Linked DNA regions of Sus scrofa. The protein of the gene in region 1 purifies or fractionates together with the protein of each later gene. This does not show direct contact. Links are inferred from orthologs where the notes say so. Each region holds a gene or a part of one and is shown on either strand. Other genes may lie near its edges.

Region 1 (6,889 bases):
CTGAGGGCAGTGCAGGTGCCATCATGTTTGTGTCCATGGGCTGGGAGCCATCCTGGGTCATGGGGTCCTCAGGAGGCAGGTAAGCAGGTGGGGGTGTATCAGCTACAAAGTTTGAAGAAAAAAAAAAAAAAAGATGTCTTTATCCACAGTAAACACACACTTAAAACATGTATTCTCTTCCGTGCTGAAATTCTTCAGCAACTAAGTTGCCATTTCAACCTCCCCATCAGAAGATTGGATGCTTCAGATGCTGGCTTTGGTGGACCCTTTGTGGGGATCACTACTATGTCATCATCTTACACAAACGCCCTGAAAATTCCATGGGAGGCAAACACTAGATGCCAGTTCCAGAAGCTCTCTGCCTCCCCAGGGCCGTGCCATTTTATAATGATCAGGAGAGCACTGACACTTTCACACAACCCACTTTGAAAGGACCTCTGCATTTCGTTGTTTCCCTGATGGATGGAAAAATCTCTGAAAGCTACACAGGATTTCTTAAGAAAAGGAGTTTCAGGGTCTCCTGCGTTAAATCTAGGGGCTCTTAGGAATTTACCAACTGAATTTCACTACTGCCAATTGACTCACTCAAACTGTTAATCCCCATGGCTTCAAGAAGCCTGCTAGCACTAACCTTCTCCCTACCCGCTTAGATTCTCACTGGTTTCAAGTTCCCAGTAGCGGAATAATAGGAAATAGAAGATCACAACTATCTTCTATTTCAGAATTTGCGTACATGTTTCTTTTGGAAAGCTCATAGCCAGCTAACAAATAAGAGGCCAACAATGTGCTTCTTTCTTTCCCTTCTTTCTTCCTTTCTCATTTCTTTCTTTCTTTTTCTTTCTTTCTTTTTTTTTTTTTTGGTCTTTTTAGGGCCACACCCGTGGCATGTGGAGGTTCCCAGGCTAGGCGTCTAATCAGAGCCACAGCTGTCGGCTATGCCACAGCCACAGCATCACCAGATCCAAGCCACGTCTTTGACCTACACCACAGCTCACAGCAACGACAGATCCTTAACCCACGAGTGAGGTCACGGATCAAACCCACAACCTCATGGTTCCTAGTCAGATTTGTTTCCGATGCACCACGATGGGAACTCCTCCTTTCTTCCTTCCTTCCGTCTTCCTTCCTTCTTCCTTCCTTCCTTCCTTCCTTCCTTCCTTCCTTCCTTTCCTTCTTTCTTTCCTCTCTCTCTCTTTCTTTTTCTTAATGGCTGCGCTCACAGCAGATGGAAGTTGCTGGGCTAGTGGGTGGAATCAGAGCTGCAGCTGCTGGTCTACACCACAGCCAAAGCAACATCAGATCCTTAACCCACTGAGCAAGGCCAGGGAATTGAACCTGAGTCTTCATGGATCTTAGTCGGGTTCTTTAACCGCAGAACCACAGCAGGAACTCCAACACTGAGATTTTTGAAACAGAACATGGGCACAAGTCTTGTGCTTTCTTAAATAAAATCAAGGGTGTGGCTTTCCCACAAACAAGCCTGTGTGATGGAAAAACGAGTTCCCCACGGGCTACAGTGAGCCCACTTAGGACCCCAGCACAGATGACAGCCAGAAACAAAGTATCAGGCCAAGGAAGCACCAAGAGCTTGGCTCTCAGGCCAACCATCGCATACTAAAAGCTAATGCTGCTCTTTTCAGTTTCTCAGCCATTTCCCAGACTGACTCTCACAGAGTCCCAGTTCCATGGTCCAGGTGCTAACAAGCCAGGCCTCAGGGCACAAAGGCAGACCATGGGGACCCCATCAGGATACCTTTTCTACCCTTTCTCCAGCTTTTTAACCAGCGTGCTTCCCTGCAGCTGCAACCCTGCCTCTGCTTTCCTTCCAGCCAGGCAGGGAGACAAAGAGCCTCCCTTGAGACCAAGTTCAACACGTTTCTGCAAACAAGCTGGTGAAAATTTCATCAACAGCCTACAGCATCAGCATCACTGGGAGGGGCTGGACACTGTGGGTGGGGCTCTGGTGTCCTCACGAGGCCCTCCTGGCACCCCTGCAGCTTTCTCCTTATTTCCGCTACTTGGCCTGGGCCCTAATCCCCGACAGCCGGGGAACAAAGTGTAAATTCTGGCAATAATCTTCAATTTGTTTCACTCTTGAGCCCACCCTGGGTCTGCCACTGCTCCAAACCTTCCAAAACCGTCTCCCTGCCACCAACCTGTTCATCAAACCCAACGGGTGCGGAAGGGAGTCGGGCAGAGGAAACCAGCAAATGATACTAGTTTGGTTTTTAAACTAATCTCTCTCCCATCTCGTCTTAAACAGTTTTCAGTTGAAAAAAATAAACAGAACAAGGCAAAATAAAGAGGCTTAAAATGTAAAACAGCAGTAAATAAATACATAAAAGATAGGAGGATTCCCTGTTGTGGCTCAGTGGGTTACAAACCCAGCTAATATCCATGAGGACAGGGGTTTGATCCCTGGCCTCGCTCAGTAGGTTAAGGATCCAGTGTTGCTGTGGTGTAGGCCAGCAGCTGCAGCTCCAATTTGACCCCTAGCCTAGGCACTTCCATGTGCTGCAGGTGTGGCCCTGAAAAGCACCCCCCCAAAAAAAGGGATAGGAATAACAAGTATGAACGACTTTTCAATCTTTTTTTTTTCCTTTTTCTTTTTTAGGGCCGCACCTGTGGAATGTGGAAGTTCCCAGGCTAGGAGCAGAATCAGGGCTACAGCTGAGGCCTATACCACAGCCATGGCAAAACTGGATCCAAGCTGCATCTGCGACCTACATGGCAGCAGATGGATCCTTAACACACTGGGTGAGGCCAGGGATCGAACCAGCATCCTCATGGACACTATGTCAGGTTCTTACTCTGTTGAGCTGCAATGAGAACGACCACTTTTCAATTTTTGAGGACACACCAACTTTGCTGTTGAATTCCAGTTTGCTTAAAAACATTTTAAGTGGCACAATAAATATGCCTGCCCACTCATTTCCCCCCTACCCCCTTTTTCTGGCCGTGCCTGCAGCATTTGGAAGTTCTTGGGCCTGAGATCGAACCCGTACCACAGCAGTGATCCCTAACGCCAGATCCTTAATCAAGAGGCCACCAGGGAGCTCCTCGTTTTCCCTTCTTGAAATGTTAACAGATGTCAAGTATGTCTTTGTTTAGATTATCCATTGTGAGGTCTACTGGCAAGAAACTTGGCACTAATCGTTTTTTGTTCTGAGGTGCTTACTTATTAACCTCTAACTTGAAAAATATAGTGTCCTAATTAATCACTTAATTTGACAAACATTACACCACCAGAGAAGTCTAAAAAAGAAGGATGATGATTTTCTTGCCTTTGCTAAATTAAACAAGCAGATGGTTTCCAGTACCTCTGCTGCAAATCCTTTGTTGTTAAAGCATAGGTTAAAGTTTCTCAGGATTACTTCACCACTGAAATGAATTTAATTAAGTAGGGGGGTGGGATCCCCCAGGAAATAGCTTTTTTGAGGATGCACTCATGAAAGGGTTTTTCCCTCCCATGAAAACAGCAAATGTGTGCAGGGCACTATTTTTTTCCTCTCTCTCTTTCATCAAGAGCAAAAGCTGTAACAACTATGCCACTCCCAGAAGGATGCAGCTGTTTCAAAACCTTTCAAAATTAAAAATGAAAATATATTCAAGCATCTGTGCCGGACAAATGAAACACTGGCTTAGTTGGCCCCCTTTCATTCAAAGTCGTATCCTGAGTTTCAGAGCCCAGGGCCACGTACCAAGGCTGGCAAGCCCTCTCCATTCCAGGCACCCCTGCTTCTCCTCGACGCTGTGCTGACCCCAGAATGTCACCGAACATTCCCACCTACCTGGCATCTGAAAGGGGCTTCCTGGGTCTGAGCTGGTCGGAGAGTGAGGGTAGGTGCTACTGCTGCTTCCAGGAGAGTTTGGGTAGCTGCTGTTGGGAGAATGAGGAAACGGATGGCTGTTGGGTTGCTGGAAAGAATCCGGGAAAGTGGCATTGAGTGGCATGTGAGGCTCATTTTGTCCTAAGTTACGGAACTGAGCTAAGAGGCTGTGCTGAGGGTTATATTCGCTGTGTCTCGGAACCAGGACTGGAGGAAGAACTGGGAAAAAAGGGAAAGAGAAACAAGAGGGACAAAGATGAGCATGATGAACATCTCTAACAACATCACAGTCAAGCTGAGACAGAATCTGGAAGTAACAACAAGTTACGTGAACTCTGGTCTGCTGCCAACTCAAAAGCACCATTCGAATGAAAAGTCATTTTTTTCACTCGGGAACAAATGCAGCAAAAACTAGTCTCCTTGGGATCACAGCTGGTGGATGCGCGACCTGCAGTGTGCACAAACTGCCCAGGGCGAGTCTGTGACATTTATTCTTTTAGGTTAAAAGCGTGAAGATTACCCGATTCTTAATTTTTTCATTCACTGAAAACCAAAGCACAGCTAAGAGCAGACATCACCATTGACAATTCCAGTTCATATTCTTGGCTAATAAGATTCTACCTTTAAGAGTTAATAATATTTATTGAATGATAAGAATTATTCTCCACCAGTGTTTCAAACGGACACATTAACTCGCTTTAAACCAAAGGAAGTGTAGTAAATAAAGCTGAGAGGGTAAATGCAGCAAGCAGGATAAAATCCAAATGCCAATGAAGAGAGATGATCAGACAAAATACGATGTTTTGTGGGGCAGATTTTATGTTATGTCCTAGCATTCATACCTTATGAACATGTTCTCTTTTAGGGTTTTTTTTTTTTTTTTTAGGGCCACAGCCATGGCATATGAAGGTTCCCAGGCTAGGGGTTGAATCAGAGCTACAGCTGCCGGCCACAGCCACAGCCACAGCCACACGGGATGTGAGCTGCATCTGCAACCTACACCACAGCTCATGGCAACGCCAGATCCTTAACCCACTGAGCATGGCCAGGGATCGAACTTGCATCCTCATGGATCCTAGTTGGAATCGTTAACTGCTGAGCCATGAAGAAAACTTCCTCTTTAAGGATCTTAATGTATTTACCCACTTCTCAGTAATCCTTATCACTACCTGATAGGCAAAGGAAGAAACAGGTCATACAACCCACATTTTGCTACCTGAATACCCAAGGTATAAAGGTCCCCAAATGTACACACTGGAAGAGAAGGAAATAAAGCAAGCCATTCTTAAAAGCTCTGCATGTTAGGAACCTAGGAATTAGCAGCTCGCTGGTCCCCAACCCCCAGAAACCTCAGGAGGCAGAGCCACTACAAAGGCAATGATCAAGGAAGGGAAGGGTTGGTAGGGGTTAGTGCCTCAGCCTCTGGCCAGGGTCACCAGGCGGCCCCTCCCAATAATAAAGGTCCTTGGAATGCCTACTGCCCTTATGACCTTGGCAGAAAGAGAAAAACAACTCGTTTGGTAAACAGCATGGGAAGAGATTTAAAATCTGTGATTGTTGTTGGGAGTTACGGACTCAATGTATTTTCCAAAAGAAACCCGTATTTAGTGGCATTAGGAACTAAGTAGATTTTTGAGGGCTTTCCAGGGAATCTATCCATGACTTAGATAATTTCTACAGCAAAAAGTGCTCCTAACACTTGGATTATCACTAATTCATGAGCAGAAAATTGTATAAGTAAAAATGGGTTTTTGAAGGTATTAAAATTTCTCACATGCTGTATCTTAAATCTCCCCAAATCCTGTAGCAATAAGATTTCCCTACTATTTGATCCCTTAGAAACAAATCTTTTCCGTATAAGTGTATTTCATTTCTCACACAGTGATGGAAATCTGTCCAAATCGTCATCAAAAGTATAATTTCTCCCTGTAATGGACAAGAATCTGAAAAAGCATACACACATATCTGTCTATCTATATCTGAGACACTTAGCTGTACACCTGAAACTTAACAGAACATGGTAAATCAACTATACTTCAATTAAAAAAAAAAAAGAAAACCCTAAGGGAATAAAGGCATAATTCCTCCTTATACACTTGTTTTGTTGATGAAAGAGTTCCCAATAGTCACAAAGTTTCCCCAACACCATAGAACTCTATATTCCAAAAATAAACACATGCTCTGAAATAGTACAGTATCTTTAAATTACCTCCGTAATCAAACGTTCTCTTTTTCTTTCTGTTGTCGCAGCCTGTTACCACTTCCAGCTTGCCTTTTATGGTCAGCTAGCTCTAGCCCCCATTCTGACCCGCACCTTTAAAAGGCCGAAAACAGAGGCCTCTAGACCCCGCCCACCAACTGCAGCGCCAGACAGCAACTCAAGTCAACTCTCCATCTCCCCCCCCACCCCACCCCCGCTACGACCCCCTTACTGAAGCCCCTGTTTTAGTAATTCCTACTGCCCAAGAGAGTTTTCAAAATGGGAATTTACTTCCTTTCCTTGCCTGCAGATGACAGCGGCAGCAGGGGGCAGTGTATTTCTGCACACTCCGCACATGTGTTCCCGGGTAACTGCTGTGGTGTGCAGTGGTCTGGCTCTAAAGCACAGGGCTGCCCTTAGTGTACACTCTGGGGGAGCTCAGTCAGCTTTTGTACATGACCCGGGAAGTTAGCCACCAACTCCAACAACTTAGCCCTCTATACCGGAGCCGGACAAGAGCAATACCTTTTTGCTCACCTCTGCTGATTAATATGAGATGATTCTGCCACTGCTGATATAGGGACAGGCATATTTTAATGAACTTCAACAAGGTATTGAGGGGAGATGCTCTGTGGCTCAGTGGGTTAAGGACCCAGCGTTGTCACTACTGTGGCTTGGGTTCGATCCCTGGCCCAGAAAATTCCACATGCCATGGGCACTTCCTAATTTGTCTTTTGACTTTGCTTATGTGCAAATTTATTTTTTTTTGATAGTCAAGTTTATCAATATTTTCTTTTATTGAATATGGATTGAGTCCTAGAAAGTCGTCTTCTACACCCAGACTGTAAGGAGGAATTCA
Region 2 (7,585 bases), on another chromosome or scaffold:
GGTGCCACGGGTTCCTGCCTCTGGCACCCAACCGGCTGTACCTGTGGCCTGGACCCCCAACCTGCCGGTGTGGCAGGAGACAGAGGGAGGGGTAGGACAGCTGCTGGGATGGATGGGAGGGAGGAGGGCGAGCAGGTGGGAGCCCCTCCAGCTGCGCTCACGGGGAAGACAGGGCCTGGCTGACTCTGTGCACGGCTGGCCCTTGCTGGAAGGGGTGGGCTCTGTTGCTCTGGAAACTCCAGCATCTTTGGGGGAAGAAGACCTCAGAGTCTACGGAGACAGAGAAGTCGTAGAGATGAGTTTGGGTGCTCCCTGCTTCTCAAGGCCCTTCACCCCTCACCTGTCCCCTGCTGCACCCACTGCACCCCAATTCAGCTTCAGTCTGGGTTCTGAAGCTCTGGGAGTGTCGGCCCGTGCCCAAGGCCCCTTCCCAGGGCCCAGCAAAGCCGGGGCTGGGGGCCGGTGGAGCACGGTGAGCCAACCACTGCCCATCTGGGGGGCTCAGACTCAGGGCCCTCCTGGGAGTGCCCATCGGGTCAAAAGAGCAGGAGGAATTGTGTGCTTGGCTGGAAACCCTCCCTCCAGCCCTCTGGTGCTCCAACCAGCTTCTTCCGATTACAGGTTGTCTGAGCAGTATGGGAGTCAGGTCCACGTGGAAGGAACCGAGCCAGGTGCAAAAGAAACATTTTTGGCCTGTACAGTGGCCAAGAAAACAGCCTCCGAAAGTAGAGAAGTCCTTTTTCTTGTTTTTTAAAACACCCCTTCCCCAGTTTTCTCGTGTTGGGGCACTGGAGTGAGCAGTGGAAAGGACAGTCCCCAGGACATAGGTGAGGGCGGGCAGGGAGCAGTCAGGTCCTCAAACGTGGGGCACTGCGCCCTGAATCTCAAGGGCCCCAGAGCCTGCCTGGGTCTGCAGGTGTACAGGTGTGGGGTCACCGGCCCATCCTAGCTGCCTATCCAGACACGTGGCCGTGCCCGAGAGGTGACTGAGGCCTGCGGAGATGCCCGGTCGGCTGCCCGGAGCAGACACTCCCCCAGAGCAGAGCTGGGTTGGGGCCAGCTCCAGCTTCCCCTGGGGAGTCAGGAACAGCAGGTGACAGGCTGAAGTGGGTGCGGCCTTCTCACCCACTGTGCCCCATGTGCCCCCCAGTGCCCAGGCCAGTTTGGGTGCTCTCATCCCGTGGAGGAAAAGGTGCCACTGCCGGGTTGGGCTGGAGTGTCCTTCTGCCCTCAGGTTGAGCACAGCCTAAACCTACCTCCTGACCCCGAGTGCCCTGCCCCCAGGCCTCTGCTGGATGCTGCCTCCTCTGGGGGCGCCCCCCCTCCAGCCTGTTCCACCCGGCGCCTTCTGGTTGGCCCCTTGCCCTAGTACAGCCAGTGTGTGGAAGGACGGCAGTGGGGTCTCGGCCTAGGTGCCCTGCAGATGTATAAATGGCTCTCTGGGCCTGGGCGCTGCGGGGTTAGGGCAGGGCCAGTCTGTACTGAGGACACGCGCTGCGCAGCGACCTGGGAGGACCACGCGGACACAGCCCCCAGAGGCAAGCCCTGTCCTGTGGCGCAGCAGTCCTGCACTGGAGCTGGCAGGAGGTGCGGCTGCTGGCTGTGTGGGGAGACCCGGGTGCGGGGTCACAGCGTGGCCCTTCCTGCCAGCAGTCATGCCTTGGCGGTCGGTCCCCAGGACAGGCTGCACGGGGTCTGTCTCCTGCGGGGGGGGTGTGTGTCTCCGGGGTGCTGCACTCCTAACCCACATCGTGTTGCTTGGTGTCCCTGTACTATGTGCGACTTGGATCATTTTGCCTGGTGTCCCCATCGTGTGCGTGGGGACCGCGGCGTTGATGGAGGACGCGCGGCCCGTCCTGTCCGCTCCTCAGCTGGTCTGCGGTTGTGGTGGGGGCCCCGTGTGGGTTTCTGGGCTCTGGTGGCGACGGGGCGGCGGGCCGGGGGCCTTCGCGGCCGCGCAGGAAGCGGCCTCCGCCGGATGAGGGGCCTGGGGCGCCGCCGTCGCCCCCGCGGAGCCGCCTTCCGGCGGGTGGGGCCGATCGGCGCCGAACAGCGCTGAACCCCTGGCGGCTGCGGCCGAGCGGAGCCGAGCGGAGCCGAGCAGACCCGAGTCCCCGGCGGGCTGGGCCGAGCGGAGCCGAGTCCCGGGCGGACGGGCCCGAGCGCGGCCGAGCGCGGCCGAGCGCCGGGCGTGGGCGGGGGGAGCGCGCGTTCCTGGAAGAGCCGGGTCGGGGGGCCGGCGCATTCCAGGCCGGCGCTCGGCTGAGGCGGACGCGCGGCCCCAGACGACGCGCGGGGCGGGGCGGCGGCGCGGCGCGGGGCGGGGCGCGGGGCGGGGCGGCGGCGTGAGCTCAGCGCCCGGCGCTCAGTCCGAGCTGGAGCGAGCCGCCGGGAGGATGTGCGCCGATCTCCGCGCCGCCGCCGCCGCCGCGGTCTGAGGCCGCCGCCACAGGCGCTCCGCCGCCCCGGAAGCCGCGCGCGCGCGCGCGCGGGCGGGCGGGCAGGCCGCGGAGCCGGGCGCGGGCGGCGGGGTGGGCGCGGGCCGGGCCGGGAGGCCGGCGGCGGGCGCGACGCGGCCGGCCAGCGCCGCCGGGACGAGCCGGGCGGGCGCCGCGCGGTGGGAGGAGCGGGGCGGCGGCGGCGGCGCGCCGCGCGAGGACGGCCCGGCGGGCCCCGCGCCCGCGCCCCCGCTCCTCCCGGGCCCCTCGGCCTCGGCCGCCGCGGCGATTCGCGCCTCGCGGCGCCGGCACCTGCCCGCGCGCCCCCCGCGAGCCCCGGGCCCGCGAGCGTTGGCGTTGGCGTTGGCGGCGCGCGCTGGGGCATGCCCCGCGCCTAGGGCCCGGGGGGCGCGCGGGGGGCGCGCGGGGGCCCGGGCGGCGGCGGGCGCGGCGCGGGGCGCGTGGATGTGGCGCCGGGCCCGGGCGGCGGCGGGCTGCAGCGGCGGGACCCCTTCGCCCCGCCCGCCTTCCCCTTCGCGCCCCCGGGCGAGGCCGAGGCCGCGGCCGTGATCGGCCGGGAGCCGGTGGCGGGGGGCGGCCGGGGCCGGGGCCGGGGGCGCCGCCGGGGCGCGCGGGGCGGCGGCGGCGGGGGCCGCGGGGGCCCGGGCGCGCGGGAGCGGGAGCGGCCTGGGGAGCCGGAGCGCACCATGGAGGCGGCGGCGGGCGGCCGGGGCGGCTTTCAGCCGCACCCGGGGCTGCAGAAGACGCTGGAGCAGTTCCACCTGAGCTCCATGAGCTCGCTGGGCGGCCCGGCCGCCTTCTCGGCGCGCTGGGCGCAGGAGGCCTACAAGAAGGAGAGCGCCAAGGAGGCGGGCGCGGCCGCGGTGCCGGCGCCGGTGCCCGCGGCCGCCGAGCCTCCGCCGGTGCTGCACCTGCCCGCCATCCAGCCGCCGCCGCCCGTGCTGCCCGGGCCCTTCTTCATGCCGTCCGACCGCTCCACGGAGCGCTGCGAGACCGTGCTGGAGGGCGAGACCATCTCGTGCTTCGTGGTGGGCGGCGAGAAGCGCCTGTGTCTGCCGCAGATCCTCAACTCGGTGCTGCGCGACTTCTCGCTGCAGCAGATCAACTCGGTGTGCGACGAGCTGCACATCTACTGCTCGCGCTGCACGGCCGACCAGCTGGAGATCCTCAAAGTCATGGGCATCCTGCCCTTCTCGGCGCCCTCGTGCGGGCTCATCACCAAGACGGACGCCGAGCGCCTGTGCAACGCGCTGCTCTACGGCGGCGCCTACCCGCCGCCCTGCAAGCAGGAGCTGGCCGCCAGCCTGGCGCTGGGCCTGGAGCGCAGCGAGCGCAGCGTGCGCGTGTACCACGAGTGCTTCGGCAAGTGCAAGGGACTGCTGGTCCCCGAGCTGTACAGCAGCCCGAGCGCCGCCTGCATCCAGTGCCTGGACTGCTCTCTCCTGTACCCACCGCATAAGTTCGTGGTGCACTCGCACAAGGCCCTGGAGAACCGGACCTGCCACTGGGGCTTCGACTCGGCCAACTGGCGGGCCTACATCCTGCTGAGCCAGGACTACACCGGCAAGGAGGAGCAGGCGCGCCTCGGCAGATGCCTGGACGACGTCAAGGAGAAGTTCGACTACGGCAACAAGTACAAGAGGCGGGCGCCCCGGGTGAGTGTCCTGCGAGCGGCGGCGGCGCGCCTGGGGGGGGGCGGCGGCGGTGGGGGGGGGGTGGTGGCTGTGGGCAGGGGCTGGGGCGCGCGGTGCGACCTGTGCTTCCTCCGCCTCCACACGTCTCGGTGTTTTGTTTTGTTTTGTTTTAAGGAGACTGGGGTGGGGGGGCAGGGGAGTGTCCTTGTCCCCCTAGAGGGCCAGGTAGCCCGGGAGGAAGAGCCTCCTGTCTGACTCCCAGCCTGAGCCAGGCTGGCCTGGTTGGGAGCCCTGGGGAGCCTGGGGCAGGCTTGGTGGGCGAAGCCTTGCTGAGGCCCACGGTCATTGCCCAGACAGCCGGGAGGGGCAGGCTGCAGACCTTGGACTCTCTGTCCCGAGTCCCCGGGAAAGTGGTTCTGGCTGGGCCCAAGCTGGAGCTCCAAGTCCAGTCCTTCCTCGGGCCCAAAGCAAGTGTCCAGCCCCCATGCGCGAGGGGGACTGCCCTGGCCCCCAAGCTCCCAGGCTCGCACACGGGGTGCCTGGCACTTCCCAGCAGGCAGAACTTGGCCAGGCGGGGCCTGTTTGTGCCTTGAAGTCTCGGGAGACAGACTCAAAGCCCAAGCCAGGTGTCCAGGCCCTGGTGGCAGGGGGCCGAGACTTGGCGACTCCAGCTCTCTGTGTCTGCCCTGGCCTGGCAGGCAGTGAATTGTGGAGTCCCCCGTGTGGGGGCGAGGGCTGCTTGGCACAGGGCTTGGGGACTGGTCAGCGGGCACCCAGGGCCCCGGGTGTCAGGGTAGCCGCCGGCCTGTGATTCGTTTTGGACATGTCCTTATCTCCTTGTTTCCTTCTCGCTGAAACGCCGAAGGGTGCAGCAGGGAGGCCGCTGGCCGAGGCGCTGTTGTTTGCCAGGCTGGGGGTCTGTGTGATCCGGCCTGGCTGCTCCCGGGCCACCAGGCGCCCCAGCCCTCCATCAGGGTCGACACCAACTTTTCATGGCGTCTTCCCCCCGCCCCAAGTATTTGCAACTTTTCTTTGAAATATGCAGGCTTATTAAATTGCACACACAGAATGCTGCACTGGCTCAGCTATTCTTGGGAGGCCTAATTAATTCAGCTATTGCATCAAACTTTTTTTTTTCCAAATCTGTGAATAGATGCTCCCCCCAGTTCTCTCTGGGCGCCTCTCCAGCGGAGTGTCAGAGTCTCAGGGAGCGGAGGAGGGGAGGGAATAAGGGCCTGCTGCCCGCGCTCAGAGGGGCCACCGCGTGTGCGTCCGTGTATCTGGTGGTGGTGCTGCCCTTGGCTAGGCCAGCGCCCAGGTGGCAGCTGTCTGCAGGCTGTGGAGTTGGCACGGGGTGGGGGAGCCGGTCTGGGTGGGCAGCTCGGTGGGGGAGGGTGCCCATGGGAACGGCTGCCGGCAGATCTCAGCAGGCTGGCCAGGCCCGTCGTGCAGGCTGCTGTTGGCTGTGGGTGGCGTGATGGGTGCTCCCCGGGGCCTGGGGTGCCCGCTCCCTCGACAGCCATCTTGCCGGCGCTGGTGGGTTCTGGCGGGCTGGTTAAGCCTGTGGTGGGCAAGGCTGTGGCGGGTTCCTCTGCTCCAGAGTGGACAGCAGAGGGTCCACGGGTGGTTGGGACTGCGGCAGGGTGTGTGCCCGTCTGGGTCCTGGTCTGGGTCCTGGGTGGTTGGGACTGTCTTGCTGGGGTCTGCTTTTTGTCATCGCTGAAGGCCCTTCCGGGCCCTGGTGTCCGCAGGCTCAGGGAAGGCCTGGCCCAAGCTGGTGGCCTGGAGGGGAGGCCGGAGCATGCTGGTGATTTCAACAGATGGTCAGCGCCCCGTCCTCCTCCGCTGCTCTCCGCAGTGCTGCTCGGAAACCTCGTTTCCTGCTTAGAAAAACGCCACGGGTGACGATGAAGACAGGGTCATCGGAAGGGGTTGGAGTCTCCGGGTCTCAGTGTCACCCCGCCCTTGGTGACCAGGGTCGCGGGCCTCCTCCAGGCCCCGGCTGCTGGCCGGCCGCTCCCTGGCTCCCCCCCCCCGCCCCCCGTCTTGGGACCCGCCGCCCTGGCCCTGTGGCTGAGCAGCCGGGAATTCTGGGGTGCCTGGTCCCTTTGGGGTGCGCCCGGCCGTGCCCTTGCCTGTCTACCCGCCAGCGACACCCGGGAGGAGGCGGGGGTCTCAGCCTCAGGGTTGTTCTGGAGGCAGCAGCCTAGACAGACCCTCCCTCCCAGTGCCTGCTCGGGCCCCGCTCCGCCCGCTCCTCGCGCCCGGGTCTTCATGGAGTCTGTTTTGACTTTTTTCCGCCTCTTTTCTGGCTTATTTAAATATGTTTGTCCCACTGAGAACGAGGCCCGAAGGGAACCAAGACTGTTCTGGGCCCTCTCTCAGCAGGGACACGGCTCGCCGGGCCTCGGGGTCCCGGTGTTGGGGGCCTCGGGGTGGCCCGGGTCTCCTGCCGGCCGGGACTCCTCTGCCATCAGCAGCGGCGTGAGCCCCGTGGCTCTGAGGCCCGACCGAGGCTTGCTCTGCGCTGCCTGCGGCCTGACCACGGCGGGGTGGCTGTCCCTGTGGTCGCCCCAGCGAGGGCCGGGGGCAGGGATGGGTCTCCAGCCTCGAGCCCGGAACCCCTGCGTGCAGGCGGGGCCGTCCTCAGCGACACTCTGCGCCTTGCCCTCAGCCTCGCGGGCTCCCTGACCTCGAGGCACTGGCTTGATCTCTTTGTGCCTCGGTGTTCTCACGTGGGAAAGGGGGGCTGTGGTAGGTGGCGGCCGCTGCCGACGGTTTTGGGGTGTTCCGGTGGCGAGTGCCGCCAGGCGGGGCGGGGATGCGGGGTGAGGGGCCGGGGCCTTTCCCGCACCGTCTCCCCTTCTCTTCTGTCCACGAGCTCTTTGCACGGCTGAGGCCCTTTGCACTTGACCGTGGGGAGTGCTGTCGGTTTGGGGGGCGTTGGTGCCGCCAGCTCCCTCCGTCCTGCTGGCTGCTGACCGCGGCCTCTGGGGGCACAGAGGTCCCAGTTCTCAGAGCGGAGACCGTGTGGCCGCGCGTTGTCCCCCGTCCTTCCAACGCTGGGCTCTCCGGGGAGGCTTTGTCGTAGAACTGCCCCTGCTGTCTGCCTGGGGCTGCTTGGCTGACGGCCCCCGAGGGGTGCAGCCTGAGCTTCCACGACGGCCCTGTAGGGAGAGCGGGGCTCCCTCAGAGCAGAGACTGGCGCGGCTGTGCGCGCAGAGGCCCGTGTCGTGCATCTTGTGGGGAGTGGCTGCGGCTTTGGGGGGGGCCCTGGCCTGTTCGTGTCGCGTGTTCAAGCTGAACCGACCCCGGGGAGGCGTGGCATCGGGAGCGCCCAGAGGCTGGAAGGGACTCGGGCCAACATGCTTCGGGTGCCCCCTCTTAAACAGCGGGGGCGAGGGGGCCGTGTGCCCAGGTGCCCTGGGGTCGGGCCGGGTGTGGAGGGAAGTCAGCTGCCTCTCGGGCCACTTGCTGTGCTTTGGGTCTCTG

What was found. Proteins that work in one complex are often made in the same cells at the same time.
Region 2: the proteins of SMAD1 (region 1) and SKI purify together in Homo sapiens (affinity purification with western blotting, with the first as the bait; 3 studies listed by BioGRID). This does not show direct contact. The link is inferred for Sus scrofa from reciprocal best matches to the Homo sapiens genes SMAD1 and SKI.

Annotation. Positions count from the first base shown.
Region 1 is NC_010450.4:82,923,115-82,930,003, forward strand, and holds part of SMAD1 (mothers against decapentaplegic homolog 1), read right to left. Parts: intron 4,050-6,889; coding exon 3,792-4,049; intron 103-3,791; coding exon 1-102. UniProt on the Homo sapiens protein: Transcriptional modulator that plays a role in various cellular processes, including embryonic development, cell differentiation, and tissue homeostasis.
Region 2 is NC_010448.4:64,185,168-64,192,752, forward strand, and holds the start of SKI (ski oncogene), read left to right. Parts: upstream 1-3,097; 5' UTR 3,098-3,145; coding exon 3,146-4,114; intron 4,115-7,585. UniProt on the Homo sapiens protein: May play a role in terminal differentiation of skeletal muscle cells but not in the determination of cells to the myogenic lineage. Functions as a repressor of TGF-beta signaling.